Linked DNA regions of Saccharomyces cerevisiae S288C. The gene in region 2 interacts genetically with the main gene of each other region. Each region holds a gene or a part of one and is shown on either strand. Other genes may lie near its edges.

Evidence for each region.
Region 1: mutations in STB3 (region 2) and MAK16 together harm fitness more than expected from each alone (negative genetic interaction), as found in Saccharomyces cerevisiae (one large-scale study listed by BioGRID).
Region 3: mutations in STB3 (region 2) and ATG42 together harm fitness more than expected from each alone (negative genetic interaction), as found in Saccharomyces cerevisiae (one large-scale study listed by BioGRID).
Region 4: mutations in STB3 (region 2) and YPL039W together harm fitness more than expected from each alone (negative genetic interaction), as found in Saccharomyces cerevisiae (one large-scale study listed by BioGRID).

Annotation. Positions count from the first base shown.
Region 1 is NC_001133.9:99,725-107,304, forward strand, and holds MAK16 (ribosome biosynthesis protein MAK16), read right to left. Parts: upstream 1,422-7,580; coding exon 501-1,421; downstream 1-500. Other genes in the region: mitotic regulator LTE1, read right to left, coding at 1,841-6,148; dolichyl-phosphate-mannose-protein mannosyltransferase PMT2, read right to left, coding at 6,548-7,580.
Region 2 is NC_001136.10:790,246-798,159, forward strand, and holds STB3 (Stb3p), read right to left. Parts: upstream 3,645-7,914; coding exon 2,103-3,644; downstream 1-2,102. Other genes in the region: Hsp90 co-chaperone CDC37, read left to right, coding at 83-1,603; YDR169C-A (uncharacterized protein), read right to left, coding at 4,329-4,478; Arf family guanine nucleotide exchange factor SEC7, read right to left, coding at 5,948-7,914.
Region 3 is NC_001134.8:513,088-521,116, reverse strand, and holds ATG42 (carboxypeptidase C), read right to left. Parts: upstream 5,454-8,029; coding exon 3,927-5,453; downstream 1-3,926. Other genes in the region: GTPase-activating protein IRA1, read left to right, coding at 1-3,767; YBR138C (uncharacterized protein), read left to right, coding at 5,781-7,355; YBR137W (uncharacterized protein), read right to left, coding at 7,534-8,029. UniProt on the Saccharomyces cerevisiae protein: Vacuolar serine-type carboxypeptidase involved in vacuolar zymogen activation, breakdown of the autophagic body, and autophagosome-dependent protein synthesis.
Region 4 is NC_001148.4:475,664-483,070, reverse strand, and holds YPL039W (uncharacterized protein), read right to left. Parts: upstream 3,847-7,407; coding exon 2,896-3,846; downstream 1-2,895. Other genes in the region: H(+)-exporting P2-type ATPase PMA2, read right to left, coding at 1-228; EGD1 (Egd1p), read left to right, coding at 1,170-1,643; MET31 (Met31p), read right to left, coding at 2,003-2,536; YPL038W-A (uncharacterized protein), read right to left, coding at 2,698-2,889; isoleucine--tRNA ligase ISM1, read left to right, coding at 4,070-7,078; MRX11 (Mrx11p), read left to right, coding at 7,330-7,407.

The DNA.
Region 1 (7,580 bases), on a different chromosome or scaffold from region 2:
CCAGTAAATTATTGCTTGGCGCTAACCTCTATTTGGCGTTACTGGCTTCTTGTTGCACTATTCCCCTTAGAATTGCCAACAATTGTTGATTATATGTTTCTTCAACTTAGTGGCATTAAACAGATTTGGGTTTTCTGGCAAAAAAAGCCAATCACGTGATCAGGAAGATTTCAGTGATTTACGCTTCAAATAACCTTTACCTCAATAATCCCGTAATAGTAAGCTTCTAATAGTAAGCTTCTAATTTGCAATGTTATTAGCCCAACAGCTACTAAAGGTATTATTTTTTTTTTTTTTGATAAGAAATTTAAGTGTTACAGAATGGGCCATCTTACAAAAATAATAGTCTTTATGTATTTTTATATATGTAAAAGAATTGAAATATTTTATAACTGGTTGTTATTATGGTACAGTGCGCTGCCCAATCCACGTGGAAAAATCCTGTTCATTCAATAATAGAAACTGAAATCATGTAATGTTGCGTAGTATAGTGCGTGAGCTTATTGTGCCACTTCTTGCTCAGCATTTTGAACTTCGTGTTCCTCCTCGTATTCGATTTCGACTTTAGGACGTTTAGTTTTGGCACTAGTTCCCTTCTTACGTCTCTTGGCTGAATTCTTATTTTCTTCATCACTATCGCTGTCGCTCTCGCTTTCACTGTCGCTTTCGCTTTCACTGGCGCTGGAAGCTTCTCTGTCAGAGTCAGCTAACCACTTTTCTAAGTCATCCACGTCAACGTATTCACCTTCGCCATCATCTGCAACGTATTCAACTTCCCCATCATCACTTTCCTCTTCTTCATCCCAGTCTTCTTCCTCGTCCTGAGAATTCTCCTCTTCCATTTGACCCATTATCTTCTTCCAGACCTTTTCGTCAACATTTAATGGTTTATCACCGTAAGCACCACTCTTTAATCTGTCCATCAATTCTTTTTCGATGGCTTTTTCAATCTTGGCAGCTACCAATGCCTTTCTCTCCCTGTTTTGTTCTCTTCTTTTGACCTTTGGTGCTACACCAACGTAGTGTCTCTCCTCCTCCCTTAATGCTAAACGTCTCTCTGTTATCATGACCTGCGTCAATTTTGTAAATCTCTGTTTACACTTATGACGGAAAAACTTGCTCCAATGTAGTAGGTGTTCGTCGATCTGTTGTAAAGCCTTCGTGTAATTTTTGGATAGTTTGATTCTTTCCCATAACTTGGCAGGAGTGTGCGCTCTTTCAGGCGTCTTCATATACAAGTACAGTTTCCCATTGTCACACTTCACTGTTGCATACTTGGAGTTGGCAAGTGGGCATGATTGCCTTGTACACAACCCAGTGACGTTATACTCATTTCTGCAAAAATTTTGACCATTAGGTGCCTTAATTCTATGAGAGCAGAAACTTTGATTAATCACTTGCCAAACAATTTCGTCGGACATATCCTCGTTGTATTCTAACCGTTGTAGTTATGTACTGAAGAGAACACTGTCAAAAGAAAGAACTAAGCAATGCAATATCTGCCTCTATACCAATCACTTTTTCATTTTTTTTCAAAAGCTCATCGGAAAATTTTTCAAAAAAAAAAAAAAAAAAAAAAAAGGTTTATTACCCTACTGCATTTTGATAATCTGAACATAATGAGCTAATGAAAGCAATTCTCATTTAAAAACAAGTATTCTCTCTTATTGAAGTATGCATTATCTATCATTATAAATTCTTTTATTCTGTTCGAGTCCATGTTTTTAAAAAAAAAAAAACATGTATGTATGCTCCATCTATATATGCTCCATCTGTATATTTTATATGCAAAGTTTTTTACAAGAGGAATTTGGGAACTGGAGGAAAGTGGCACAATACCTCATGTGGATAGTTCATTAATCTCTTCTTGTGTTAATGTGCTAATATAAACACACTTACTCAGCAATTCGTGGTTAACTTTGAAAGTGTAAAACTTGGACCATTGAACCCTTTGAATGAAATTCTTGACTATTTGAACGTTCGTATCGAATTTATTGTAATTCACTACTTTATCTTCTAAGATCCAGTCTTTCTTCTCTGCGTTTGCTGATAGGTCCGAAAGATATACGACGATGAAAGGGACGCAACCCACCAGTGGATTCACAGAGTTAAGTAGATTTCTTATTGTAGAATAATTCCTGTCTAGCGAGGGAATCTTCTTTAGCTCTTCCCAAGTCAGTAAGTCGCCTGGTTCAATCAGACGCCATGCATCAGTGAATTTTTGAACAACTGAAGAACTTAAGGCTAGAATGATTTCCATCAATGTGTTAAAGTTCTGAAATGTCCTGCAGTGGTCTGCAACGTGTATAAACCTTTGAATGACATTTCTTTTCATTTTGCTGCTCTTGGTAAGAAGTATTTCTGATATAATCCAATCCACAGTTAAGTTAAATCTGGATATAGCTAAATCAATGCCAGATAAGGTCTCGTTCCTTACTAGTAGTTGCAACCAACTTATAACTTGTGGGCCTTCATGCTTCATCTTTAAATCTAATAAATCTTTCCAGTCTATTTCTCCTAAAATTTCCTTCTCTATCAAGGTCATTTGTTGCGCTACAGACAGGGAATCGTACATTAGTATAAATGGAACGTGACTTTCATTATTAGAAATCATTAATCTCGAATCGTGAATCCTGTATTGACCGATTAATTCCTGGATTTGCGCCGCTTGCACAGCAACATCAACATTAGCTGACACGTCTATTTTTTCAGGAGAGGAGGAAGTAAAGCCTTCCTTCTCGGATTGATCTGGAGTAAAGGGGATATTCATTATAGTTTGTCTCCTTCTTTCTATTAATAACGATTTTCTTTTTTCTGCGGGGCTATTTTGGAATGACGGCAAGTTGTTAAGGTTTAGCATTTCCACTTCATCTGCTAACTTGCTCGTTTTAATTCCAATAGCGTCACTACTCTTGGTGTTCTCTGGTTTTTCGGGAATTTTCTCGTATGTACCTTCCAGTTTCATTAATGCCACGGTTATTGGATCGTCATTAATTGAATCATCGAGCATATTAGCAATTTCATTTAAATTTTTCTTATTCAAGGAGCCTGTAAAAGCCGACTCAGAGTTTGCTCTCCGTGTGTTCCGGGCACTAGATGTGTCATTAATGTCGATATCGTCCATTGTCAATACACTTCCTGATATGTTACTATTAGTTTCACTCTCGTTCTTCAGAAATTTACTTTTCAGCTCTTCAACGTTTTTCATTGGAGAAGCAACGTCAATGCTACCGTCATCTGGTGAAAAAAAATACTTGTTGTTTTTCGCATGGGTACTTGGACTTTCTAGGTCATTATTGGAATCGCTTAAATCAATTGTTTTTAACTCATGCAATGAAGAAGTATTTGAGATTATATCTTGATTACCCCTTTGATATTCTTCTCTCAAATTTATTATCCTTTGGTGTGGCACTGGTAAATCTCTGGACGTTTCGAAAGTTTCAACTGTGCTACCAGTGGTAATCGAATTCAAATCACTTACAACAGATTCTATTGTGGGTGCTATGGATAATCTGATTCTATTGGTTTCACTCACGCTGGTCCCGTTGGGAAATTCTCTCTGTGGATTTTGAGTTTGTTTTAGAGGACTATTCTGAGCAGATTCAAAAAGCTTGCTCGTTGAGATACTGATAACGGTGGACGATGTATCAGAGTACAACGCGCTTTTTTTATTATATTCCAGGTTGAGAGGTTCTATTTCACTTATTTCCTCTATAACTGAGTTTGACTTGTTTTGCTCAGGATCTACTATGGATAACTCTTTGGTTGGTGTTATGGCAATGCTTTGAACTCTTGAAATGCTGATCCTTCCACTAGCCGGTCTTACAACTGCTTGTTTGATCTTGTGATTGCAAGATGAATGTTTTTTTCTTGTAGTTATATCATAATTATTGGCTTCTGATGATGCATCGAGTGAGTTGTCCAGCTTTTTTGTGCTCTCATATTCTGATTCCTGATTTTCTTTGTTATCATAATTCTTTTCAAGGCCATCTATAGTACTCTTTTTCTCATCTAAAGACTTGGTATCTTCAAATGTAAACTCTCTTAGATTTAAAAATCCAGTTTTTGTTTTTAGAGTTGGACTATCTGTATTATTCACGATGTTTCTGACTTTTCTTGACTTTTTCGTTACAGTATCTCTGGGTGGAGAGCTGGATGACAACTCGGAATCGTATGAGTATGTTATTGATTCTGTGTCTTCCCTACTATCGTTTAAGGGAGACGATTCTTTAAGATCAGGTAGAACATTTTTCAGAGGCGAAGAAGTCATGCTTTTTTGGGATTGGGAATGATTTTTCCTCCTTGGTGTCATATTTGTAATCGCTTCTGAGTTGGTTTTATCAGTTTCATGGAATAACAATCTTTGAGGTCCATTCTCGTCTGTACGTGAAGAACTATTATCTTTATCAAAGAGCCTCATACTTTCTGCTGAGTAGCTACCGTGCATTTTATTGTAATATGCTGTCGTGAGACTTTTTACTTTCCTTCGTTGCAGTGCATCATACGAGGGTGATGGCTGCATATTCGATTCATTGTTCTGCAGTTGCTTGTTTAAAGTATTAGTTAAAGAGATGACTGACTGAGCAATTGAACTTACGGTTTGATACAGATCCAAATTGTCCATAGCGCTAAAATTATCATTACTCGGTTTAAAGCTATTTTGTTGTAAAATCTTTATATCATGTATGTGTTCCCGACGTTCACAATCAACATTAACTGTAGGACCTCGGTTGTTATTCGAATGTGTTTGAACTTTTTCTATCAGCTGGTTTTGTAAATGCAGTAGGGACTCCACTTCATCTATGGTTCTTGCACTTAGGATGTCAAATTTAGAAGAATCAGAGTTAAGAAACTCTTCCTCTTCTTCCTTGGAAGATTTTCTATTGAGAGATGATATTGATACAACGTATTTGACAAACGCATCCATTTCAGGTTTCTGGTTTGCTGGTTTAATAGCACTCATAAATTTTTTATCATTACTGCTATCATGGCGATTATGGTTTTTCATCCACTTAGCTAAAAGACCAATAGCGCTGCGATGTAACACAGACATTGAAGATGTATTAGATCTACTATTACTGTTGCTATTGTTATCTAGAGATGATGTCGTCGATGTACCTTGAAGCGTTCCGCTTTGTTCATTTAAATCTTCAGGAATATATAAGGAATTCAGAATAAATTCAACTTTTTTAGCCGGTGTTGGAGGCATTATTTTATCGACTGCATATGATGACGGGTAGTCTACGCCTTTCATTAGTGTGGATACTAGAGTGACTTTTGACAAGTGGCTGATCTTTTGTTTACTATCTGACATGTCCTCGCTTTCATTATCAACTGAAGGTTCTTTCGCTATTCGGTGCTTCGAGTAAACATTTGATGTATTATCGGGAAATAAAAGCATAGAAGGGCTTCTCTGGTTTTTGGAAGAATTTGAAGACTGTAGCTTCTCCGGCAGTCTAAATACATCAGAAGTTTTATATAATGATAAAACGCTTTGGTTACGAAAATCAGGACTGGCAAAACTTTGCCTGGCGTAAATGCTCAGTCGGCTTCCTCTTTTGTGTAGGCTTTCTAGTTGCGTGAAATCCTTTAACGAATAATGCAGCCATGCATCAAAGTCTAATTTATCAGGTTCATTTAGTTCAATATTCTCCCAAACCAACTTAGAACAATGCACCCAGTTTTTTTTCAGATTGATTATACAGCTGGAAATTATTTTTGGGTACTGTTCAATGTGTTTGTCGTTTAGAAACTCGATCAACCGAAGTCTTAATGTTATGTTCGGTAAAAAATCTTGCACAAAATAATTCAGTATGGAATGCCTCAACAACACAAACGTCCTCACGAGGGCAACTTCACCAATTCGCCTTCTCTTAGCTTTTGCAGCATTTGTTGTGATCTCCCTAATACACCATCGAAATCTATAGATGAGTAAGTCGTGTAAGTCTTGAGGCGTTATAAAATTCCTATAAATAAGGAAAAAATCTGCAGATGCGTTGTAGTCTACACCTTCCAAAGGGGAAGAAAGGTGTACAATTAACGCGGGCAGGTCTGCACTATTCACTGGTTTGGATACACAATCGCTTTCATAGCTAATAACATTTGAGGATGGAGTCGGGTAGTAATCTTTCTGGCTAAATATTTCCATGGTTCAGGGTAGCGAATCTTTGAATGGCTAGAGGCTATGTAAAGCAAACAAAAAGGTTCGCGTAAATCAACGAGCGAATAACACGAGTACGGTTGGGGTGGGCTAAAGGGTTCAAGAAATTATCAGTTTCTGTTTACAGTTTTTTTTTCATTGTTGATAAAAAGATCAAGAATTTCATTATTCGCGAAAATCAAAATGCAGAAAGGAAAAAATAGAAGGGTAATAAAACAGCATCGGATCGCAAAGATGAGTAAGGAGAACAGCCTGGTTAACAATTAAAGAGTGTTTATCGAAATTCATTATATAGTGGTTTATATAGACCACTTCTTCTGCTGGTTGATATAGAAATTTTATTTAATTCTTGTTTTTTACTTATGTACTTACTACGATGATCTTAATTCATGCTTCTTGCTTGTCGGCAATGTCCCAAGTGGAAAACCAGTTTAAGTAGCGGAAGTTACTACTTGGTCCCTCCATACCAAATGATATTGGGGAGAAGTACCAGAAGCAACCAATTACAAGTGCCATGAATCCGGCGTATAGGACGAACCGCATGATACGGCCGCACTTAGATCTGGACCATTTTTGCAAACCGGCGTCGAAACAGTACGCCAAAATGATCAGTGCAAAATACAAGGCAGGCAAGTAATGATGAACGTAGGTGACTCTAGACATGATAACGAATGGCATGTAGTGTAGGCCCCAAGCTAGTAGTGGGTAGAACCCGCCCATTAAGAAAACGTTCCAGTTAGATGGATTTCTTAGGTCCACATATTGTCTTTGCCATCTGATCAGTAAGATAACGACCGTGGCCATGAATGCGAGGACGGCAACACTAGAAGCCCACGTGGAAGCTGGGGTACCCAATAGGAAGTATTTTGGATTATCATCACCCCAGCCACATAGTCTCAAACCCACATTCAAAGTTGGCCATTGCCATGCTGAGGAAGCTAAGTAATCAAATTTGTCTGGATCTGGCACCAAAGCGTTATTAGTGGCCATCATGGCTAGATTTAAATGAATGAAGTCTTTTAAGAAGTTGGTCTTTGGGTATTGAAAATCTTCGGGTCTTGGTGGCAACCTTTCATTTTCGTGGGTCTCGATGTTCCACCAGGTCCTCTTGTCCCTCTTGAATGGGTTTTTCATGCAGACAACCTCTTGTTGTCTGAAACCCCATTCGGGCAAACTGTTACCGGTTTGAGCCAAGTAACAGCCCATCTCCAAGTTCTTGATACGGAAAGAGGTGGTCAATGTGTGCAACTTCTCAGGGTCTTCATCTCCTCTTTGGTCCATGATCTCAATAACCCAATTGTCTTTGTTGTCACCAACAACATTGTCACCGTAACCAGAAACCTCCCATTGTGTCTTTGACACTGGTGCAGCAACTGGGTGGGTGTGCAAGTTTCTGCCCGTGCTTTTGTGTACCAATCTA
Region 2 (7,914 bases):
AACACCTCCGTTGCACCAACACTTCATCACGATAAAAAAACTATCGAGCTATCGTACTACGGAACAACTACATAAGTCAAAAATGGCCATTGATTACTCTAAGTGGGATAAAATTGAACTATCAGATGATTCTGATGTCGAGGTGCATCCTAATGTGGACAAGAAATCGTTCATTAAATGGAAACAACAGAGTATCCATGAACAGCGATTCAAAAGGAACCAAGATATCAAAAATTTGGAGACACAAGTGGATATGTATTCTCATTTGAACAAACGAGTGGACAGAATTTTGAGTAATTTACCTGAAAGTTCTCTTACTGATTTGCCAGCCGTTACCAAATTCTTGAATGCAAATTTTGATAAGATGGAGAAAAGTAAAGGGGAAAATGTTGATCCTGAGATTGCAACATACAATGAAATGGTTGAAGATCTTTTTGAACAATTAGCAAAAGATTTAGACAAAGAGGGCAAAGACTCGAAGAGCCCATCTCTCATAAGGGATGCTATTTTGAAACATAGGGCTAAGATCGATTCAGTAACTGTAGAGGCTAAGAAGAAATTAGATGAATTATACAAGGAGAAAAATGCACACATTTCATCTGAAGACATTCATACAGGCTTTGATAGTAGCTTTATGAACAAGCAAAAGGGGGGGGCTAAGCCACTGGAAGCAACTCCTTCAGAAGCTCTTTCGAGCGCTGCAGAGTCTAATATTCTTAATAAACTAGCAAAATCATCAGTTCCGCAAACTTTCATCGATTTTAAAGATGATCCTATGAAACTGGCCAAGGAAACTGAAGAATTCGGTAAAATATCCATTAATGAGTACTCAAAATCTCAGAAATTCTTACTGGAGCACTTACCTATTATTTCAGAACAACAAAAGGACGCCTTAATGATGAAGGCCTTTGAGTATCAGTTACATGGTGACGATAAGATGACTTTGCAAGTCATTCATCAATCCGAATTGATGGCCTACATTAAGGAAATCTACGACATGAAGAAAATTCCATATTTAAATCCAATGGAACTATCAAATGTCATTAATATGTTTTTCGAGAAGGTTATCTTCAACAAGGACAAGCCAATGGGTAAAGAGTCTTTTTTGAGATCAGTTCAAGAAAAATTTTTGCACATTCAAAAACGTTCCAAAATTTTACAACAAGAGGAAATGGATGAATCGAATGCTGAAGGAGTAGAGACGATTCAATTGAAATCTCTAGATGATTCTACAGAATTAGAAGTAAACTTGCCAGACTTCAATTCTAAAGATCCAGAAGAGATGAAAAAGGTTAAAGTTTTCAAAACTTTAATACCGGAAAAAATGCAAGAAGCCATAATGACCAAAAATTTGGATAATATTAATAAAGTCTTTGAAGATATACCAATTGAAGAGGCTGAGAAACTTTTGGAAGTGTTTAATGACATTGACATTATTGGAATAAAAGCGATCTTAGAAAACGAGAAAGACTTTCAAAGTTTGAAAGATCAATACGAACAGGACCATGAAGACGCCACTATGGAGAATCTGTCCTTAAACGACCGTGATGGTGGCGGAGATAACCATGAAGAGGTCAAACATACTGCCGACACTGTTGACTAGAAATTTATGTAGCTATTTTACTGGTGCAGCGTGCATCTACTTCCTTTTTTATTGTTATTTTCATTTATACATAATACAAAAAAAAAAAAGAAGAAAATTAATGATCAATAAAGAAAATCGTGAAATTACAGCAGAGGTTTTGTACCTGCTTTCCTACGTTAGTACATAATATCTTATTTTTTATTAGTGCATGTTTTTCTCAGTGTGTGTTTTTGTAATTTGTATATACTACACAAAGAATCGGAAGGGTAAAATGTGAAAAATACTGGGTCTTTTGAAATATATTGAACGGGCTAATATATGAAATGAATATGAAAAGAAGAAAAAAATGTGACAAGAAAAAAGTGGTGACAAAAAAGACAAAATAATTATTCAGAGATGATAAACTTAAAGCAAAACTTGGTAACAAACTTTCATTAAAACAAAATATGTATTCTTTTTTCATTTTCATTTTTTTTTTACTGTTTTTTTGTTATTTCATGGAACTGGTAAAGAATTCTTAAGATTTTAAGCTCATTAATAAAAACGCAGCACTATTGTCTTCCCCATTTCTTGGCTGCTGTTCATGTTTCTGTTGGTCGTGTTGTAGGGGAGGCTCAATATCTCCATTCTGAGAGTTAGTAAAACTTGGATTTGTAGGTTTAGGGCTAACTACGCCATTAGTAGAACTTGCTACGCTGTCTATGTTAGGTGCTAAACTGTTATTTCTCAGAGAAGCTGCACCAATTGATTCCCAGTCTTCTTCGTCTGTATCTGAGTGAGGTTGATGATGAGAATGGGGAACAAGTTGTGGCGACGATTCCCCATTCAGGTGTTGTGAAGCTACTCTATGTTTCTCCTTGTCCGATAATACTATCGGATTTGAACTTACATTCATCTGTTCTTCTAGCTTAGGGGAGGTGGAAACCGACGTAGCTTTAGAGTTAGGGTTTGTAGTGACGATCAAATAGTTTTTGTTTGGGAAAAGTGTCGATCTAATACTTGATTCTTTCGATACAGACAGACGAGAAGCTCTTCTTGAAGTTGGCTCACTTGTCGCAGTAAGTTTCTCTAAATCTATCTTCGCCTGGTTTGAGTTACTGTTGTTATTTGATGGGGTTGTCGTTGAGGTTGTATTGGGGGAAAGGTAGGATGAATCTTGGTGTGTGTTTAGTTTGGAAATGAAAGGTGTATGTGGTTTTATGCTCGAACGGCGTCTATTTCTTAATAGCGGTCTAATCTTTTGTGCTATTATTTCATGCTCAATATTCTCGGGAGTTGAATCGGCGAACACAACTTGAGACCTTCTCCTGCCGAAACTATAGGGATCACCATTTGAAGATTTTCCAAAATTATTACTGCTGTTCCTCGATTTGTTTTGGTAATGTAAATGATGGTCATCTTCATCAAACTCCTCATCCTCATCTTCCGATGCTAGCGCATTTTCATCTATATATACTACGTTTGCTGCTGCAAGTGGAGATTTGCTGCGTTTGATATTAACAGGAATGGTGGTGGAAGCAACAGCGGTAGGCGGGGTGGTGGCTCCATCGATATTCGTGATATTATGCTCAACTTTCATAGGCATTTCAACTTTGCCGCCTGAATTAGAATTTGAATTGTTGCTTTTCCTTCTTTGACTCTCTTGAGAAATCAAGTCTTTCACCTTTGCATTTGCAAAATTGGTCGCTTCCAGCTCCTTATCAAAGTTGGCAGGGTCTACTCTTTTCGCGGACCATTGACCCCATCCAATTTTTTCAAATACCACTGATTTTTCTTTATCACCACTTTCCATAGCACTCATTATAAGTCGTCTTTGCTTGGAAGATGATAAATCTTTAAAACAGGGAATATCTAGGCATAAGGTCTGTGTAATGTGTCTAATGGCCAATGGTCCCATTTCTAGTAATAAAGTGGACAGTTTCCCGGGCGTAACTCTTTGAGCGGCTGCTAACCCAGCGGGTGATGATGTGGAGATAGGTTTGGAAAATATACTAGAGCTTGCCTCGGATTTGACCGATATGGCTTGAGGAGGCGATACCTCCTTTTGGTTTTCTGACATTATTAGTGGTAGTCTGAAATAATGTCTTTTTATTCAAAATTTCAATTTATTAGAAAAGCACAAAGCAGGAGCTTGGCGTTTGTACACCGAATGATTCAGATGATACTATACTCTTTTTCCTTCTTTTCAGCGGAAATTTAGTAACGGTCTTTAATCGTGTTTACAAGTGGTTACAAATTCACGTGCTCCGATTGGAAACTGGTTATTGACACGACTCTTGAAAATCTCAGTTCGCCCTTTTTTGCGATAAATTTAACGTGCTTCTGATCAGGATTGCCAGGCACCGTTTGCAATCAGTGTCTTTTATAATCGATTTGTCTTGGATATGGATGGTATTACCGTACCTGTATCTTTATATTATAGCGTGGATTGCGTGAGATTGTGTGGAGATGAACATGAGAAGGATAAAGACTATCTGAAATAGTTCACTCTTCGGTTACTAAGGTAAGGAAGGCGCCTCTACCCTCTCAGCGCGCACGTGCGGAGTGATCAGCCTACTACCGTAGGGACTTTTGCACGTTATTATGGGAATATCATTGCCAACGCAACCTGATTCCTATACAAGCAGCCAATTCATGCAAATGACTGTAGTATTGTATAGCATGCCAACATTCTTCATCATACTATCCTGAGGTCCTATTTCTACAAAGATCCCACAAAAGGGTTCATAATTTTGGCCGTATTTCAGTTTCTGCCGTGCTTGTTTGAGAATCTGGGGCATTCCAATTTGCTTGACGAAGATCTCAAGCCACTAGCACCAATAAGCAACATTCTCACTCGAGAAGTCGCAGAAAATCTCTGTGACTGCATTTGTTTTAGAGACATTCTCATCATTGGACGGGAATGTTCTGGCGCCACGATAAGAAATTTACGACCGGGAATGTTGCGTACTCTAGTTTTTGTCGATTTTGCTACTCACTCCTGCTGAATTTGCAGTAATGTTTTAAAGATGTGGCTTCGCAACCACCAACATGAACCCTATGGTCGTGTCTTTTGTTTGTTTCTTGTAACAAATCATAGCGAGCAGTTTGAAAATTATTACAAAACCAAAATACGTCTCTAGTAGTGCTACCATAGAATTTATTGGGGCATACGTAAAACAAAGTTTGAATCTTTCTTGTCATACTTCGCCATAAATTACAGACAGTCTCGTCCCCTATGCTTCAAAAGAAATAGGATGCGAGGGGTGGAGGCGCTTGATGGAAGAATAATCCAAGTCCTCAACCTTTTAGGCTAAACAATCTTGGGACTCCCGTACAAATACTGGATATCTCAAATTGCTCAAAAATTGTGCTTTATTGATCCAAAAGTTGCCTGTCCAAAGATACATCTACATTGACATAATGGAAAACATGAAAACATACACCTACGAAGGGCATAATTGTGCAAGATATAAATGCAGCCTATGTTTCCTGCCAGATGGAGCGTATATTTCCGACCGAGTATTACTCAGTTGAACTCATTCAACGTTACACAAGTGAAGTTGATTATAGGATAATGTAGGGGTTTATAATAGCGTAGTCAATCAGGCTTATGAGGAACAAAAATAGTAAAAGCAAGCAAGTATGGCCCTATTTATCTTAAGCGTCAAGCCTTTTATATCCAAGCAAGCACTTGCAAACTTTGTTGTTATCGCTGATGGCGCTCCTCCATAGCGAGTATTGATGCTTGGCATAAACAACAAGCCTGTAAGCCTTGCCTTCTCATTCGCCTTCATTACAAGTAAAAACGCCCTCATCTGCTATTTGTTTCCAATAAATCCGTGAAAACATCGGTATGTTCTAGTGTTTTGATGGAAGCGGTGCTACCTTATTGTTTGCAATATGGATGACTCAGCTTAATGGTTTTGTGATGAACACAGTAAAAAAACGTTGACTCCTACGTGCAGCCGATCGTCCTCCACACTTAAATTCGTTGAGATAAATCGTGTAGTAATACACTCAGTCATTCAGTATCCGTGCTTGTTTCTTTCTTTTCCTATTTGTTCGCAAGTGACTACGTGCGCCCTTAATTGCTTACATATTTTAGGTTAAGATTACATCCTTTCTTATTTCGGCAAAAATGAAGTTAGTATAAAATGCCCATGAATGAGGACCAAAATGGCTAAACTTGATAAGTCTTTCTACATAGTTTACATATTTGTTATTGCTATATGATGTACCTTGTTTATGAATTAAACGAATCTAAAAAGGATCACCGCCACTAAATCAGGATTAATATGAGTAAAAGTATATCAACCTTCTCATTTTTTCTGTGTTCTACAACTAAGCATATTTTAATCTGCTGGACCATTCAACAAAGCCTTAATCAGTAGAAAGGTATAATTCACCAACTCTGCTTAGAAATTGTTTTATAGCATGTCTCAACTCCGTTGGAACGCTCTTATCTAATATTTGAATCACCAGAGCATACATAGCAGGACAGTATAGTCTAAAGTCTTCATCATCAAATTCGTAGTAACCTTGTAATATTTCAACTATCACTGAACGCCAGGCATTGATACTACGTTCCATGGTTCTATCATCCAAAGAAACATAACCCTCTACGACCTGGATGCAAATGGTGATCAGACGAGTTATTAAATCAGCCTTCTTCTCATCATCGTTCAGATACAACTGAAACATAATGTCAAGGAGAACTGCAGCAGCACTCGTTTCTTGTTTCAACAGGTTTGGTATTTTATCAACTACACGAGCCTCTACTAGTCTTGTTCTTAACCCATAATCTTCATTAAAGTCACGAGAAAATTCGTACGATTTCTCCAACAATCTTGTAATTCTAATGGCTTCCTTGTAAGGGATACAGTGGGCAAAATCTTCGTTCTCGAATAATTCGTTGAGCAGCTCTATCATCAAAAGCTGTAAAACACATTTGACAACAATAGAATTCTTGATGTTTATTCTCCTACGTATATCTTCGTTACTTTCGTTTCGTTTCATGTGCTTAGTTTTCTTGGGGATACTTAGACTAGCGGGCTTTGGATTCAATTCGTCCTTTACCGTCGGAACGGAATTGCCATTATTAAGCTTAGTTTGCCCATTGAGTGTTTCAACCATGTCACCACCAACGTCTTCGCTGGATTCTTCTTGATGCGCTCTTTCGACCGTCTCACTGATATTAGAATCGTTCTCCCTTCTGTCGTTGCTATCATCATCTGAGTGTTGGCTGGTATCATTAGTTGTTTGGTGATGAGATACAGATGATTTTCTTCCTTGCTGTAACGGATCATAATCGAACAATTCATTAGCAGTGGTTAAATCAAACAATTTATCGAATACGTCACCTATTTGATTCCAATGGTACTCATTGAATTTAGATACGTTTTGCAATATCAATTGTTGCAGGCAGGATCTCCCAATTCTAGCAATAGTGTCATTTTCTTGACAAATACAGGATACCAGCAGACCCAAAAATCCATCGAGCATTCTGTTCAACGATTCAAAGTAATGCGTAAAAAGGGCAATCAAGTTCCTTAAGGCTTGAATTAACGTGGTCGAAAGCCAAACACTTAAATCATCATGACTATTGAATTGGTTGACTTCCCAATGTTTGGATAATACACCGAAAATAGGAAATAGTAACTTCTTACAAATCTTTTCCCAGAAATCATCATTGAATTTACCACCATATGCCACTAGGGCATCGAACATATAGTTTAATGCACGTGATCTAACTTCTAAGTCTTCAGCTGTCATGATCGTATCATTGAAGCAGAATAACATAGGGAACCACACATCCTGGAATATGTCTTTCCCACGAAGTAAAGCATCGTTATGTTTTCTTTCTTCTTCAGTCTTATTTTCATTGTAAAAACAGATGTCTGCGACGTTCTGAGTCATCTTTCTTAGAGACTCCAAAGCATGTAGAGATAGCTTTTGGAATCTCTTATTTTTGGTGATTTCTCTGAAGACACCAACTAACTCAGAAAAGGCATCTTCTTGAGAGAATACGTTTTCGAAGTGATTTGTCACAATATCATTGCTAACCAGCAATTGCGTCTTTAATACAATGGATTCAGTGCTTGAGCGAGCCGTATATTGTAAGGATTCAAGAATAGGCTTCCAGCCAGATTTGATACTTTCCGATTTTGTCAATATGAAGTTCCTAAAACACTCAATAATCATTTCTTGAACTTCAGTGTTGCCACTATTTTGAACCGTGTATTCAAAAGGTTTTAAAAAATCATGTTGAAATTCAAAACCTGATAATTCCTCAATATCTAAAAATCTCATAGACAATTGACGCAGGGAATCGATAGCGAAAAATACTA
Region 3 (8,029 bases), on a different chromosome or scaffold from region 2:
ACAATGCTGCTAGTGTAAATTTTCCAGAATACGCATATATTGCCGTTGGGTCATTCGTTTTCTTGAGGTTTATCGGGCCTGCTTTAGTTAGTCCTGATTCGGAAAATATCATTATTGTTACGCACGCCCATGACAGAAAGCCCTTTATTACACTAGCTAAAGTTATTCAAAGTTTAGCTAATGGCAGGGAAAATATATTCAAGAAAGATATCTTAGTTTCAAAAGAAGAGTTTTTGAAAACCTGTAGTGATAAAATATTCAATTTTTTGTCTGAATTGTGCAAGATACCGACTAACAATTTCACCGTCAATGTAAGAGAAGATCCGACACCAATAAGCTTTGACTACTCATTTTTGCATAAATTCTTTTACCTCAATGAGTTTACCATAAGAAAAGAAATTATTAATGAATCCAAATTACCAGGGGAGTTCAGCTTTTTGAAAAATACTGTTATGCTCAACGACAAAATTCTTGGTGTATTGGGACAACCTAGCATGGAAATAAAAAATGAAATTCCTCCTTTTGTAGTCGAGAATCGGGAAAAATATCCTTCATTGTATGAATTCATGAGTCGCTATGCCTTCAAAAAAGTGGACATGAAAGAAGAAGAAGAGGATAATGCGCCATTTGTACATGAAGCAATGACATTGGATGGCATACAAATCATTGTCGTAACTTTTACCAATTGCGAGTACAATAATTTTGTAATGGACTCACTGGTCTATAAAGTTCTGCAGATATATGCAAGAATGTGGTGCTCTAAACATTATGTAGTTATCGATTGTACCACCTTTTATGGGGGTAAGGCTAATTTCCAAAAATTGACTACTCTATTTTTCAGTTTGATACCAGAGCAAGCATCAAGTAATTGTATGGGATGTTATTACTTCAACGTCAACAAATCATTTATGGACCAATGGGCCTCATCATATACTGTAGAAAATCCGTACTTGGTCACTACAATTCCCCGTTGTTTCATCAACAGCAATACTGACCAAAGTTTGATAAAGTCCTTAGGATTGAGTGGTAGGAGTTTGGAAGTTTTGAAAGATGTAAGAGTTACTTTGCATGATATTACCCTTTATGACAAGGAAAAAAAGAAGTTTTGTCCCGTGTCCTTGAAGATAGGAAACAAATACTTCCAAGTTTTACATGAGATTCCGCAGTTGTACAAGGTTACCGTATCAAACAGGACATTCAGCATCAAATTCAACAATGTTTACAAGATATCAAATTTAATTTCAGTCGATGTCTCTAACACCACAGGCGTTTCCTCGGAATTTACGTTAAGTCTTGATAATGAAGAAAAGTTGGTATTTTGCAGTCCGAAGTACCTAGAAATTGTGAAAATGTTTTATTATGCCCAGTTAAAGATGGAAGAAGACTTTGGTACGGATTTTTCGAACGATATTTCATTTTCAACATCCTCTTCAGCAGTTAATGCTTCTTACTGCAATGTTAAAGAAGTTGGTGAAATTATATCACATTTGTCATTGGTGATCCTTGTAGGTTTATTCAATGAGGATGATCTCGTCAAAAACATATCATACAACCTTCTCGTGGCAACGCAAGAAGCATTTAATTTAGATTTTGGGACAAGGCTTCACAAATCCCCAGAGACATATGTACCCGATGATACCACCACGTTCTTGGCCCTAATTTTCAAGGCTTTTTCAGAATCTTCAACGGAACTAACTCCATATATATGGAAATATATGCTGGATGGCCTTGAAAACGACGTGATTCCTCAAGAACATATTCCTACGGTTGTCTGTTCATTGTCATACTGGGTACCAAACTTATATGAACATGTATATTTGGCAAATGACGAAGAGGGACCAGAGGCGATTTCACGTATAATCTATAGCTTAATCAGGTTGACGGTCAAAGAGCCAAATTTCACGACAGCTTACCTTCAACAGATTTGGTTTTTACTGGCATTGGATGGTCGTCTCACGAACGTGATAGTTGAAGAAATAGTAAGTCATGCGCTGGATAGAGATTCAGAAAACAGAGACTGGATGAAAGCTGTGTCAATACTAACCAGTTTTCCAACGACAGAGATTGCTTGTCAGGTAATAGAGAAGCTAATAAATATGATCAAATCTTTTCTACCTTCTCTAGCAGTTGAGGCTTCCGCACACAGTTGGTCTGAGCTTACTATTTTATCAAAAATTAGTGTGTCAATTTTCTTTGAATCACCCTTACTTTCCCAGATGTATTTACCGGAGATTCTTTTCGCTGTGTCTCTGTTAATTGATGTCGGTCCTTCGGAAATAAGAGTCTCATTGTACGAGTTGTTGATGAATGTTTGTCATTCTTTAACCAACAATGAGTCCTTACCTGAAAGGAATAGGAAAAATTTGGATATCGTCTGTGCAACATTCGCACGTCAAAAGTTGAACTTTATCTCCGGTTTTAGCCAAGAAAAAGGTAGAGTTTTACCAAATTTTGCCGCTTCCTCCTTCTCCAGTAAATTCGGAACATTAGATCTCTTCACTAAAAACATTATGCTATTGATGGAATATGGTTCTATTTCAGAGGGTGCACAATGGGAGGCAAAATATAAGAAATATTTGATGGATGCGATTTTTGGCCATCGGTCGTTCTTCTCTGCGAGAGCTATGATGATTCTAGGTATAATGAGTAAGTCGCACACGTCCCTTTTCCTTTGTAAAGAACTTTTAGTTGAAACCATGAAGGTCTTCGCAGAGCCAGTTGTGGATGATGAACAAATGTTCATCATTATAGCTCATGTCTTTACTTACAGCAAAATTGTCGAAGGGTTAGATCCTTCTTCAGAATTAATGAAAGAGCTATTTTGGCTTGCTACAATATGTGTTGAATCCCCTCATCCTTTACTCTTTGAAGGTGGTCTCCTGTTCATGGTAAATTGTTTGAAGCGACTGTACACGGTCCATCTTCAACTTGGATTCGATGGCAAATCGCTAGCCAAAAAATTAATGGAATCTAGAAATTTTGCTGCTACGCTTTTGGCTAAGTTAGAGTCATACAATGGATGCATATGGAACGAAGATAATTTTCCTCATATTATTTTAGGTTTCATTGCAAACGGTTTATCCATTCCTGTCGTAAAAGGAGCCGCATTAGATTGTCTACAGGCCCTTTTCAAGAATACATATTACGAAAGAAAGTCCAACCCAAAATCCTCCGATTATCTTTGTTACCTTTTCTTACTCCATTTGGTCTTAAGTCCTGAACAACTTTCTACCTTGTTACTTGAAGTCGGCTTCGAAGATGAACTGGTACCTTTAAATAATACACTAAAAGTGCCACTTACTTTGATCAACTGGCTAAGTTCAGACTCAGATAAATCTAATATAGTCTTATACCAAGGAGCACTTTTGTTTAGCTGTGTTATGTCAGACGAACCATGTAAATTCCGTTTTGCTCTATTGATGAGGTATTTGCTCAAAGTCAACCCTATTTGTGTATTCAGGTTCTATACGCTGACTAGAAAGGAATTCAGGAGGTTATCAACCCTAGAACAATCATCTGAAGCGGTTGCTGTCTCTTTTGAATTGATTGGGATGCTTGTTACACACAGTGAGTTTAATTACCTAGAGGAATTTAATGATGAAATGGTCGAACTTTTAAAAAAGAGAGGCTTGTCAGTTGTGAAGCCTCTGGATATTTTTGATCAGGAACATATAGAAAAGTTAAAAGGAGAGGGTGAACATCAAGTGGCAATTTATGAGAGAAAAAGATTAGCAACAATGATACTGGCAAGAATGTCGTGCTCCTAATTTTAAATTAGAGTATTGCAGTGATTATATACGTTTTTCCTTATAATTATATTTTGTTTTATATTTGTTGGATTGTAGATTTTAAATTAAATGAAACGTAGAGATTTGTGTAAAGTATAATGATTGCAAGGTTAAGAGTGAAACATTTTTAGAGCACTACTAACTAGCATTTTCCAAGGTGGAAAGATCCGAAAAAGCACGATTACCGGAAATCCAACTGTTGACCATTTCCAAACTTGCCTCCGGTTGATCATAGGGCACCATATGACCGGCATCGTATATTCTCAAAAAGGTGAAAGGGCCATAGTTCTTGACTTGTCCCAACTCTTCACCTGTTTCTTTACTGACCCATGGTCTTAACATCCTTCTCTGATACCTACGTTTATTGATCCATTCCAACTCATTGGACCAAGCATGGTTTCCCAGCCAATTACAAATATAATCCTTATCACCCGCATATATTAATACCGGAATGTTGTGATTTAATAATTCAGCAATATATTGTTGAAATGGTTTACTTCCATCGCCCGTAAACAAAAATCCGGTGAACACGTCATTATCACAGCCAGAATAATTATGCACGTCGGACCCTAGCGTTTCTTGAACTTCAGGAAAATTCATATACTGGTCGACATAGCGGAGACCTGTATAACACATACCATCAGTACTATTATCTTCACAGGGCCCTCTAATGTCATAGACGTTGAGTCCTGTGTTAATGTACGGTTCCAAAAGTGCAGAGTCACAGTAAGCAGTGGCGACTATGCATGGTAAACTTGATTTAGAAGCATAACATAACTTGTTCAACCTACGACAACGACCTGCAGCTTTACTCATTTTCTCACATTCTTCTGATGAGAGAACAGGGTGATAGCCCCCTTTCCCGCATGCCATTGGTTCATAATAATCTGCTTGAATCAAAGGGTCTGTGATACCATTACCAATCATAACTGAAGTTAAATTGAACGTTCTTTCAGGGTTCTTGACAACGATCTCATGTGCAATTTGAGGGATATAATGTCCTGCATAGGATTCGCCTGCAATGTGGAAATCGTTGGAGCGTAAATGAGGAAAAGCTTCAAAAAACAATTCCAGGAAAATGTACGCATCTTTGCCTGCTAATTTTGTAGAGGAGACTTTTTCATCACCATAGGAAAAGCCGACTCCGAGTGGCTGTTCTAAGAAGATCATTGAAGCGTTATTATTCCAAGAATAGGGATTGTGGATTGGTTTCATATCGGCGCCAATTGATGAGGGGCCTAGTTCAAATAGCAACCCAGTAAACGAGGAACAACCAGGTCCACCATTTAACCAAAGAATAATTGGGTCGTTAGCAGGATCGTTCCTACTTTCAAAAAACCAGTAAAAAAAGTGTTTGGAATCCTTATAGTCCATGTAACCCGACCATTGTTTTACGGTGTCAATTCCTAGTTTAGAAGGATCTACTGTTCTAAGTCTCAAACTGTAATCTGTGTCCACAGAAGAAATAAAAGTTGTAAACAGCGGATCATCGTGATTCAAACGGTCCAATTTAAGGGTTTGCTGTGTATTCTGTGGAAGCTTTAGCTGTTTATCCAAATTGGCAAAGGTGGTATCATCTTCAAAAAGAGAAAAGGCTCGGCCGAATGAGGCGTATTTGATGCTAATAAGAAGCTGAAGCACGAAAACTAAGTTTAGATACTTCATTGTATGTCGGTATCACTTTTTGTATAGCTGTTTTAAAGAAAAAATGCAGGATGACAATTTTCGTTCTTATATAACCCCTGTCCCCTGACATTTTTCGATAACGAAGCGTTATCTCACCTTTCGTAGAATGCTAGCGCCGCCTCGGCCATTTTTAGGAAATTTCCTAAATCGCTCACATTGTAAACAAGAACATCTTAGAGAACTCTAAGCACTTTTAGAAAAAAGGATTATACTAAACGAGTCAAAAACTATTTATCCAACAAGTCACAGATTGGAATAGTCTCGAAAACTTGATCCAACCACTAATTAAAAGGTTAAAATTAAAGGATGGAGAAAGATCAAATCCAGCCTAGGGTGTTGGAGTCAGTAGACACAAACTCATTATCCTTGCTTTCGTCCAATACCAGCTCAAATATGAATAGCAACACCAACAATAAACTCAGTATAATTGCCAGTGATATTTCTACAGGATCCGTACTTTCCAGGCCCTTGACTCCTCCAGTCGTCCAGGATATAGAGAATAACTCCATGTTACAATGGCAATTTGAAAAGAAGGAATTTATCTTCGATAGTAACAGCACTCCTTCGAAGCAGGCAAAACCATTGCAGAGAAATTCTCCATACCAAGGCAATAGTCAAAGTGAAAATCAGAACCAACAGTTATTGAATGTAAGAAAGCGTCGCTCACAATTGATAGGTGCCAAGCCTAAAATTCCATCCAAATTGTACCAATCTGTTTCCAAATTAGATCTAATTGATGACAAGAGCTTTACGTCTTTGCCAATTGCGCCTCCATGCAATATCGAAACTAATGAAGATGACAGTGGAAACAACGAATACAACAACAATAAAAAACGGCCCAGGTTGAATCCTGTAAATGAACTGCGAGTGCATAACAACAAACGTAATAGGTACGTCAGTTATGGGCCGAGTTTAGATACAAAAAACTACGAGCTAACAGAAAATACTTCTCAGGATATACCACCGCTAGTCCTGGTTGAAGACTACATACCGTATACCCAAAGTAAATCAACAAAAAAAATGGTATCTATTTCAGATTTGAAATCAAAACTAAGTAAAAGAAGAGATAATCATATCCCGCTGAGAGTAAAAAATTCATATTCTGAAATTAATAAGGAAACCAATAGAAATAGCTTTGAACCGAATTCACTAACACTGATACCCCATATATTAAGGAATACTGAAGAAAATAGGGACGAAAGTAACAACCCCTTAGATTTTATCAAAGAGGAAATTGAAATAAGTGATATTTCCATACCAAATTCCATTGAAAATATGGTGGTTAACTTGGTTAATATTCCATCTTCCAATAAAAGTTACGATGATCTTTATCTATCGGAATTAAATGTTCATTCCCAACTGAGGAAATGTGTCATCTGCGAAAAGGCCCTATATGAAATTAGCTCGAGACTTTTAAATTCAGGATACTATAAAGAAATTGTATGTGAGCAATGCACAGTTAGATATGAAGAAGCCGCTAAAATCTTTGAGAACTGCGAGTTCGAATCATCTATGGATGAATCAAATCTAAGCAGCGGTACTTTTAGTGATCTAGAGAATTCAGCAGAACCGTTTCATTTATCGACAGATGTTCCAAAAAAAATAAATAGGCACATAGAAGATAACAAGATCGACCTTAAAAAGGAAATATCAAAAAAAAAGGACAGCTTCTCTAAGGAACTAATAGAACGATTGCAGTTGCAATTGCTAGAAAATGATAAGTCAATCAAACATCATTTTAATAAAGATGCAATGGGCTCTAAATCAATGAATTGGTTTTTGGAAGCAAGAAGAAAATTGAAGTGGAAGTGGAGAATAAATGGTTTACTTCCGCATTTCTTACGCAATCAAAATAGTGATCGTTTAAATTTTCAACCTTGAAAATACATTGCTAAGAGATCACTAAAACAAACAGGACTGCATTGGTGCTGTGTATTTTTTCAAGGGCAAAACAATCAATATATATATGAAAAGCTTACGACTAAATAACAGTTATACTAGTAACGGGTAAAAAATATTCTATGGTGTTCAAGCCTCTATTTTACTTCTACCTACATTCTCAATCCAAATTCAAATCTTCTTCTAGACTTTCATTAGCAAATGCAATTAAAGAGCTGACTGCCATTAAATGGTCTTCTTCCTGCTTCAATCCACTTATAGTTAAGCAGGCATAGGGGTAGTCACTTCTCTCCGATTGTATTAGGACAGCACCTCCATGGAAAGCGTATTCTTTTGAGTCCACAAAAAACTTTTCCTCCGGTGTTTTGTCACCTTTCTTGCAGCCCATATAGAAACTTGAATGACCAAATCGAAGCGCTGTCTTCTTCTTTCTCTGGATCCAAAAATCATTGTCCAATGCACTGCCACCGTAGGTCACTGTGCGAAACAAGCAATGCCCATTTGGTAAGGAGATATCAATTGCAACTGGTTTTTCGGGGAAATTTTCTTTAACTGCATTTCTTATGTAAGTCCCCAAATCAAAGGCATCTTGATATGTAAAAGTAGACAAAAAGCATCGTTTTTCCATATCTTCGAGCTCTTCTAAGGGAACCTTA
Region 4 (7,407 bases), on a different chromosome or scaffold from region 2:
TTCATCAATCAATTGGTCTATATCTTCATCTGAGTCAGAATCATCAGCGGCAGAAGCGGCTGCGGCCTTCCGTGGAACGGCTGCAGCCGATGACGAGGCGGAAGTTGATGTAGAAGACGAAGATGACGAAGAAGCGGCAGAATTATTTGCAGGGTCATCGCCATCACTGGCATGGAGGTACTCTTTCGAGGGTTTCTCCTTGTATTGCTTTGCTTCAGTGGAAGACATAACGCAAAACAGTTTCCTTTTGCTTAAATTGTACTAGCACACAGCAACGAAAAATGAAAAAAAAAAAGTTATGGGTATGTTTAAAAAAGCCCAGTAGCTTGGATACAGTAGGTTATCCAGCAAGAAATGCTGGAAGAAATAATAGATGGTAAAAGAGGATATTACACACCTTTATATAACGAAGTACCATCACACCGCCAATTACGTTTAGGGGACGCCGACAAGAAGTAAATTCACTATTATGTACTTACAAATATGTTTCCACCGATAACCTTTCCCCCTTCGACGGTTATTTGAGCAGCGTCTGTCCGCCATTTTTCCAGAGAAGCTACTTCATCAATCAATTGACTTCGCAATTCCCTTAAACAAAAAAAATTTCTTTTGCCCTCCCTCGACGATTTTGGAGTAGAGAATACCTTAGGCCTTTTTTTTTCTTTTTTCTCACGGCTGCTCTTCCTCTTTTTCGCATATTCTATTTTATCATCGACTTCCCTAATTCGCACTCGTACCAAAATGTTAAGCAGTATGGCGAAGAACGTGGCGCGCTGGAGTCGTGAATGTTTGGGTCCTTGATGATGGACTACGGTAGTAAGTATGTAGTAGTTGCAACTTCATATGTTCACTTCTGATCCAAGGAAGAGCGGTTATGAATTAATCTCTTGGCATGAGCGGACGGGTAAGGGGACACCGCCTTTTCTTCGATGGGAATCAGGGTAATGGTATATGATGGATTATTGTGGAATCATTTAGTACGGCAGATGTTGAAAAAAAAAGCAGAAAATTTTTGAATTTTTTTCGTTGACATTGGAAGATTTCGTAGTGGAAACAGCTGCAATTGCTTGTTAAGTAGTAACCCCTCCTTTGTCACAAGAGAGCGAATATTCTTTCTAGGGAGGTTTAAGAATAGAACATCTCACACCAGACGCGACTCATAATTCATAATGCCAATTGACCAAGAAAAATTAGCTAAGCTACAAAAGTTGTCTGCTAACAACAAAGTTGGTGGTACTAGAAGAAAGCTTAACAAGAAGGCAGGCTCTTCTGCCGGTGCCAACAAGGATGACACCAAGTTGCAAAGTCAATTAGCTAAGTTGCACGCTGTCACCATTGACAACGTCGCCGAAGCCAACTTTTTCAAGGACGACGGTAAGGTCATGCACTTCAACAAGGTCGGTGTCCAAGTTGCTGCTCAACACAACACTTCTGTATTCTACGGTCTACCACAGGAAAAGAACTTGCAAGATTTGTTCCCAGGTATTATCTCTCAATTGGGCCCTGAAGCCATCCAAGCCTTGTCTCAATTGGCTGCCCAAATGGAAAAGCACGAAGCCAAGGCTCCAGCTGATGCTGAAAAGAAGGATGAAGCTATTCCAGAGTTAGTTGAAGGTCAAACTTTTGATGCTGACGTCGAATAAATAACTTAATCTTTAATTTTAACGTTAAATAAAAAAACACATATTTTGTTCCATTTTTTTTCATTTTTTTTAGCATATCTAAAGCATATAATACAAACACTGTTTTCTGCAAAAAAAAAAAAATAAAAAATAAAATATAAAAAAACAATATACCACACTATGCTGCACACGTGAAATGATGAACTTGTACGTCACCACTTTGTGCGCAAAAAATTGGCAAAAGTAGAGAACATGTCACTAACTGTATCGGAATATTACAACGTTTTTTTATTCTACTTATCTCAATGGCTAAAGTATATATCTATCTATATATGTATGTGTAGGTGTGCTGATGGAGACAAATACGTTTTCCTCTAGCCTTACAACAGGCCGGTACCATTCTTTATCGCATCCTTGATGAGCTCATCTACATCAACGTCTGAACCTTCACTTAGTTTCTTTCTGTTTCTTTGACAGGTCAGTGTGTTAGAATGTCTTTTTAGAGCATCCTTCCTGGCAAACCCTTTGCCACAGTTTGAGCAAATATGCGGCAGCACGAGTGAGTGTACCTTTTCATGTCTTCTCAGATCAGAACTTCTGCTGAATTTCAACTGACATTTCGCACAGCTGTAGAGCTGTGCGCCTTCCTTGCTATGGTTGTTACCTCCTGTTCTTTTTGTTTGTGTTTCTGGAATCCTTATAAGACCTCTAGCCATATTTTCCGGCTCCCCAGCCTTTAAAACATTTTCTGGTGCTGGTATAACTGCGCTCAATGGGCTGGATTGTCGAATTCTGTGGAGTAGCTCTCGTATTATGGGGTCCGTATGAGTGGGACTTGATGAGATTACCGCTATAGCTTCTGCCGCTTGTTTGAGAAATATTTCATCTACATTCATGTCTTGCGCCAGTTTCATATGCACATATAGACTATCGACTGTGTATATTGAGCCCAACTTGTTAATGATCAAATCTCTTTACGTACTGAGGAACGGCTTTTTCTTTTTCTTACCCATGTTATATTTTGCATTAGAACAAAAAAAAAATTGATGGGCTAGCAAAATTTTTAGACTAAAATTTAGAGGCAAGATATGGTTCTGTAAGACTCGAAAAAATTCTCATAATATATACTTGCTTGTGTGAAAGTGTTCTTTTGTTTTGTTTTTTTTTCTTGTGTATAATTATACATGTTTTTTTTGCCTTTTGTACTCAAGAAATCATAAATGGAAATAAAAATGACCCTTGAATGATGAACAAAACGACAAACCATACTTTATTAAACTATCCTAAAAGCTTCTTGTACTAACTTTTTACCCATTTTGTTAAACTCCTGTAATTCTGTCACCAAAACATATCCGTTACTTTGACCCGACCATTCACCAGAGTCACTTACTTGGGTGGGTTCGATCCCACACTCAATTAATGATCTAGAATGCAAACCATTTGGTGTGTCTGGGATAAACGTAGTTTGTCGATATGTATCGGCATCAGCCCCCATGCTATGCGTTTCTTCATGTTCCGACCGCCTATCTTGGCCTTCCCCATCGGAATGGCTATGAAGCGAGTATGCCCTTGTATGTACATGTAGATCATCAGCTGACCTATTGGTAGAGAAAAAAGGTGATGCTGATGAATTGGAGTTCATAAAAGAACTTCTGAGGAAGTACGAATGTTGTTCACGTCGAGATAACATTTGCCTGCGTTGTTGTCTACTCCGCCGAATAAGTACAGGCCTCACAATAGAACAACAATTTATCACTTCTTCCAGTGGCAAGCCTGTTATCTGGGAATAGAGATGATAGGTTTCATCCCTCGTGGTAATCCTGTCGCGGTCATCGCCTACAACATTTGGCACACTTAAGATGAAAGCAGCTACAAATAGTTTGTGTAAGCTGAACTTTAAAAACTTCATGTAGTTAGTTTCCTTCGAGCAGCAATCTAGAAACTTGATGACAATGCAACAGACCTTTTTGAACTGTAAATGCGATGATTTGGCTCTGTGTAGGATTATTTCTAAAAATTTGGTTGTTTTCAAATGATTTGTGCCAATAATTGCATTGTCATCATCACTAGGCATGGTAACTAATAGGCTCGCATACCGCTGCATAATCCCCTTAGTCACTTGCGCTATCATGAACTTTTTCAATACCACTTTTTGCTTTTTAAATGACAACTCAGCAGATGCCATGTTATCAGCACCGCTCAAATTATACTCCTCTTTCAGCATCCCCCAGCGTGAATAATTCTACCCCGTATTCTTTAAATATTTAACATAGATGGCGATGATGTGTCGCCCCATATAATGTACTTTAAAAACAATAAAATCCTGTTCTGAAAATGTCGATTCTTTTTCCGCAAGCGAGTTAAGAAACGCAGAAAAACAGCAAATATAAAGGACCAAGGCTAGAAGTTATGGAACACAGTATACTAAGAACGATCTTTAGCTACTTATGAAGCGCTCCAGGCTTGTGCCTCAACATATCTTTAGCATTATTAGCAAGCGATATCTCGCCAAACATGCCTACCAAAAAACATTAAACTTGCCCAAGACCAAATTCCCTAATAGATCAAACTTAGAGATTACATTGAGGGAATTAATACCAAAATCTTCGCAGTTAGTTTACAAGGAGCAGCTACGTGATTTCTTCGAAGAATTTTCAAAGCTTAATACGACTGATGAAAAATTAGAGTTCATTAAAGAAAAGTTGTTCATCTTACATGATGGACCGCCCTATGCCAACGGCGAGCTCCATCTCGGTCATGCTCTAAATAAAATTCTGAAAGATATCATAAACAGATATCAACTTTCACAGGGGAAGTACATTTTTTATAAGCCTGGCTGGGATTGTCATGGACTACCCATCGAGATTAAAGCTTTGAAAGATTTAAGCGCGCAACAGATCGAGTCAATATCGCCTTTAAAAATCAGGTCAATGGCTTTAAAACATGCACAAAAGGCAATCAAGAGGCAAAGGGAAACTTTCCAACATTTTGCCATCTTAACGGACTGGGAAACACCATACCTAACAATGGATAAAGACTATGAAATTAATCAGCTAAATATTTTTAAAGAAATGTACGAAAGAGGACTGATTAAGAGACAGAACAAACCGGTTTACTGGGGTACAGAAACTAGAACAGCGTTAGCAGAGGGCGAATTAGAATATAATGAAAACCATAAATCCATCGCTGCTTATGTTAAATTTCCTCTTGAAAAGAAATCCCAGATGGATCTGTGCAAAAAACTAGGAATAACGAATAACTTGCCTATATACTGTTTGATTTGGACCAGTACTCCATGGACTCTTCTCTCTAATCGAGCAATCTGTTTCAATCAGGATTTTTCCTACTCCCTATTACGCTTAAATAGTGAACTTATCCTTGTAGAGACCGGCTCCATTGATAAATTGGGCCTAACAACTAACTCATTTGAGACTATCAAACAGTTTCAAGGAACTCATCTAAATGGGCTATATTATCAAAACCTCTTAGTAGACGATAAGGTTGGCAGGCCCTTATTACATGGTGCACACGTTACCAGCGGTACAGGGACTGGATTGGTTCATACAGCACCAGGGCATGGACAGGATGACTATCTCATTGGTATTCAAAATGGTCTTGAAATTTATTCTCCCGTGGATCACCAGGGCCGCTACCAATTAAATGAACTTCCTCAGTCCGTCAGATCCATCGTGAGAGATGAAGGAGACTTAACAAAAGGTAGGCAAGTATTGGATGCCGAAACCGCGAAAATCATTCTATGTAAGTTAAGCGACCTTAATTTACTTTACAAATCTCACGAATACACGCATTCTTATCCGTACGACTGGAGATCCAAGAAACCTGTCATAATAAGAGCTACTCCACAGTGGTTTGCAGATTTACACGATGTAAAAAACTTGGCTCTGGAAAGCATCAGCCGCGTCAAGTTTTGTCCTAAAAGAGGCTATTCAAGACTTTCATCCTTTATGAAAAGCAGAAATGAATGGTGCATATCTAGGCAACGCTCATGGGGTATCCCTATATTAAGCTTTTACAAGAAGAGCGAACCGGATTCTGTTTTGATGAATTCAGAAATTTTGGCACATGCCATAGAAAAAATCAAACAAAAAGGAATTAATGCATGGTTTAACGATAAAGATAATGACATGAAAGAATGGTTGCCAGAAAAATATCACGACGTAGCGCATGAATACTGTCGTTCTCAAGATACTATGGATGTGTGGTTTGATAGTGGGTCGTCATGGAGTGTGATCAAAGACTTTTATGAAAAAAGCTTAAAGTTGTCAAAACTCCCATCCCCCCTGTACCAAGTTTGTCTAGAAGGATCTGATCAACATAGAGGATGGTTTCAAAGTTCACTGCTAACAAAAGTAGCATCAAGTAATGTCCCTGTTGCACCATATGAAGAAGTGATTACTCATGGTTTTACCCTAGATGAGAATGGTCTGAAAATGTCAAAATCTGTGGGAAATACAATTTCTCCCGAAGCAATAATTCGAGGCGATGAAAACTTAGGCTTACCAGCTTTGGGTGTTGATGGCTTGAGGTATCTGATAGCACAATCGAATTTCACAACTGATATAGTTGCTGGCCCGACTGTGATGAAACATGTAGGAGAAGCTCTAAAAAAGGTTAGACTAACTTTTCGCTATTTATTGAGTAATTTACAGAAGTCCCAAGATTTCAACCTTTTGCCGATTGAACAATTACGCCGTGTTGATCAATATACCTTGTATAAGATAAACGAACTGCTGGAAACGACGAGAGAACACTACCAAAAGTACAACTTTTCCAAGGTTCTCATTACTCTACAATATCATTTAAATAACGAGCTATCGGCGTTTTATTTTGATATCTCAAAGGATATTTTATATTCCAACCAAATATCGTCATTGGCAAGAAGGCAGGTCCAAACAACGCTTGTCCATATACTAAATGCATATAGGGCAATTCTTGCACCAATATTACCCGTTATGGTCCAAGAAGTATGGAAGTATATACCAGAAGGATGGTTACAAGGACAAGAACATATAGACATTAATCCGATGCGTGGAAAATGGCCGTTTTTGGACTCAAATACGGAAATCGTCACCTCCTTTGAAAACTTTGAACTAAAAATTCTAAAACAGTTCCAGGAGGAATTCAAGAGGTTAAGTCTAGAAGAAGGTGTCACCAAAACAACACATAGTCACGTTACCATTTTCACCAAGCATCACCTCCCATTCAGTTCTGACGAGCTTTGCGACATATTGCAATCATCTGCTGTTGATATATTGCAAATGGACGATAATAATAACAGTCTACCAACTATTGAATTGGGAAGCGGAATAAACGTTCAAATATTGGTTGAACGAAGCAAAAGGCACAACTGTCCCAGATGTTGGAAGGCCAACTCAGCCGAAGAGGATAAATTGTGTGACAGATGTAAAGAAGCTGTGGATCATCTCATGTCTTGAATGACATGTACCTTTCCTGTATATAAAGAATGCCAATTATTGGCTCTTAGAAAATAAAAACCCTCTTGTACTTATTAGTGGGTACCTAACAGGTCCCCTACTGACATTTTGATGCAGGGCCTCGGCCTATTGTTCTTACCAGCTCTCAGCGCGTTATACGAACAGGAAGCAAAGAAGAGAAATGTAAAAATATTGCTTTTGAGAGACCGTGTAAGGATAAGTGTTACACCCAAGGCACCCTCACCAGGAACATGACTGTCATGAATCTTTTCTTCAGGCCCTGTCAACTGCAGATGGGCTCTGGACCGTTGGAGCTCATGCTTAAAAGG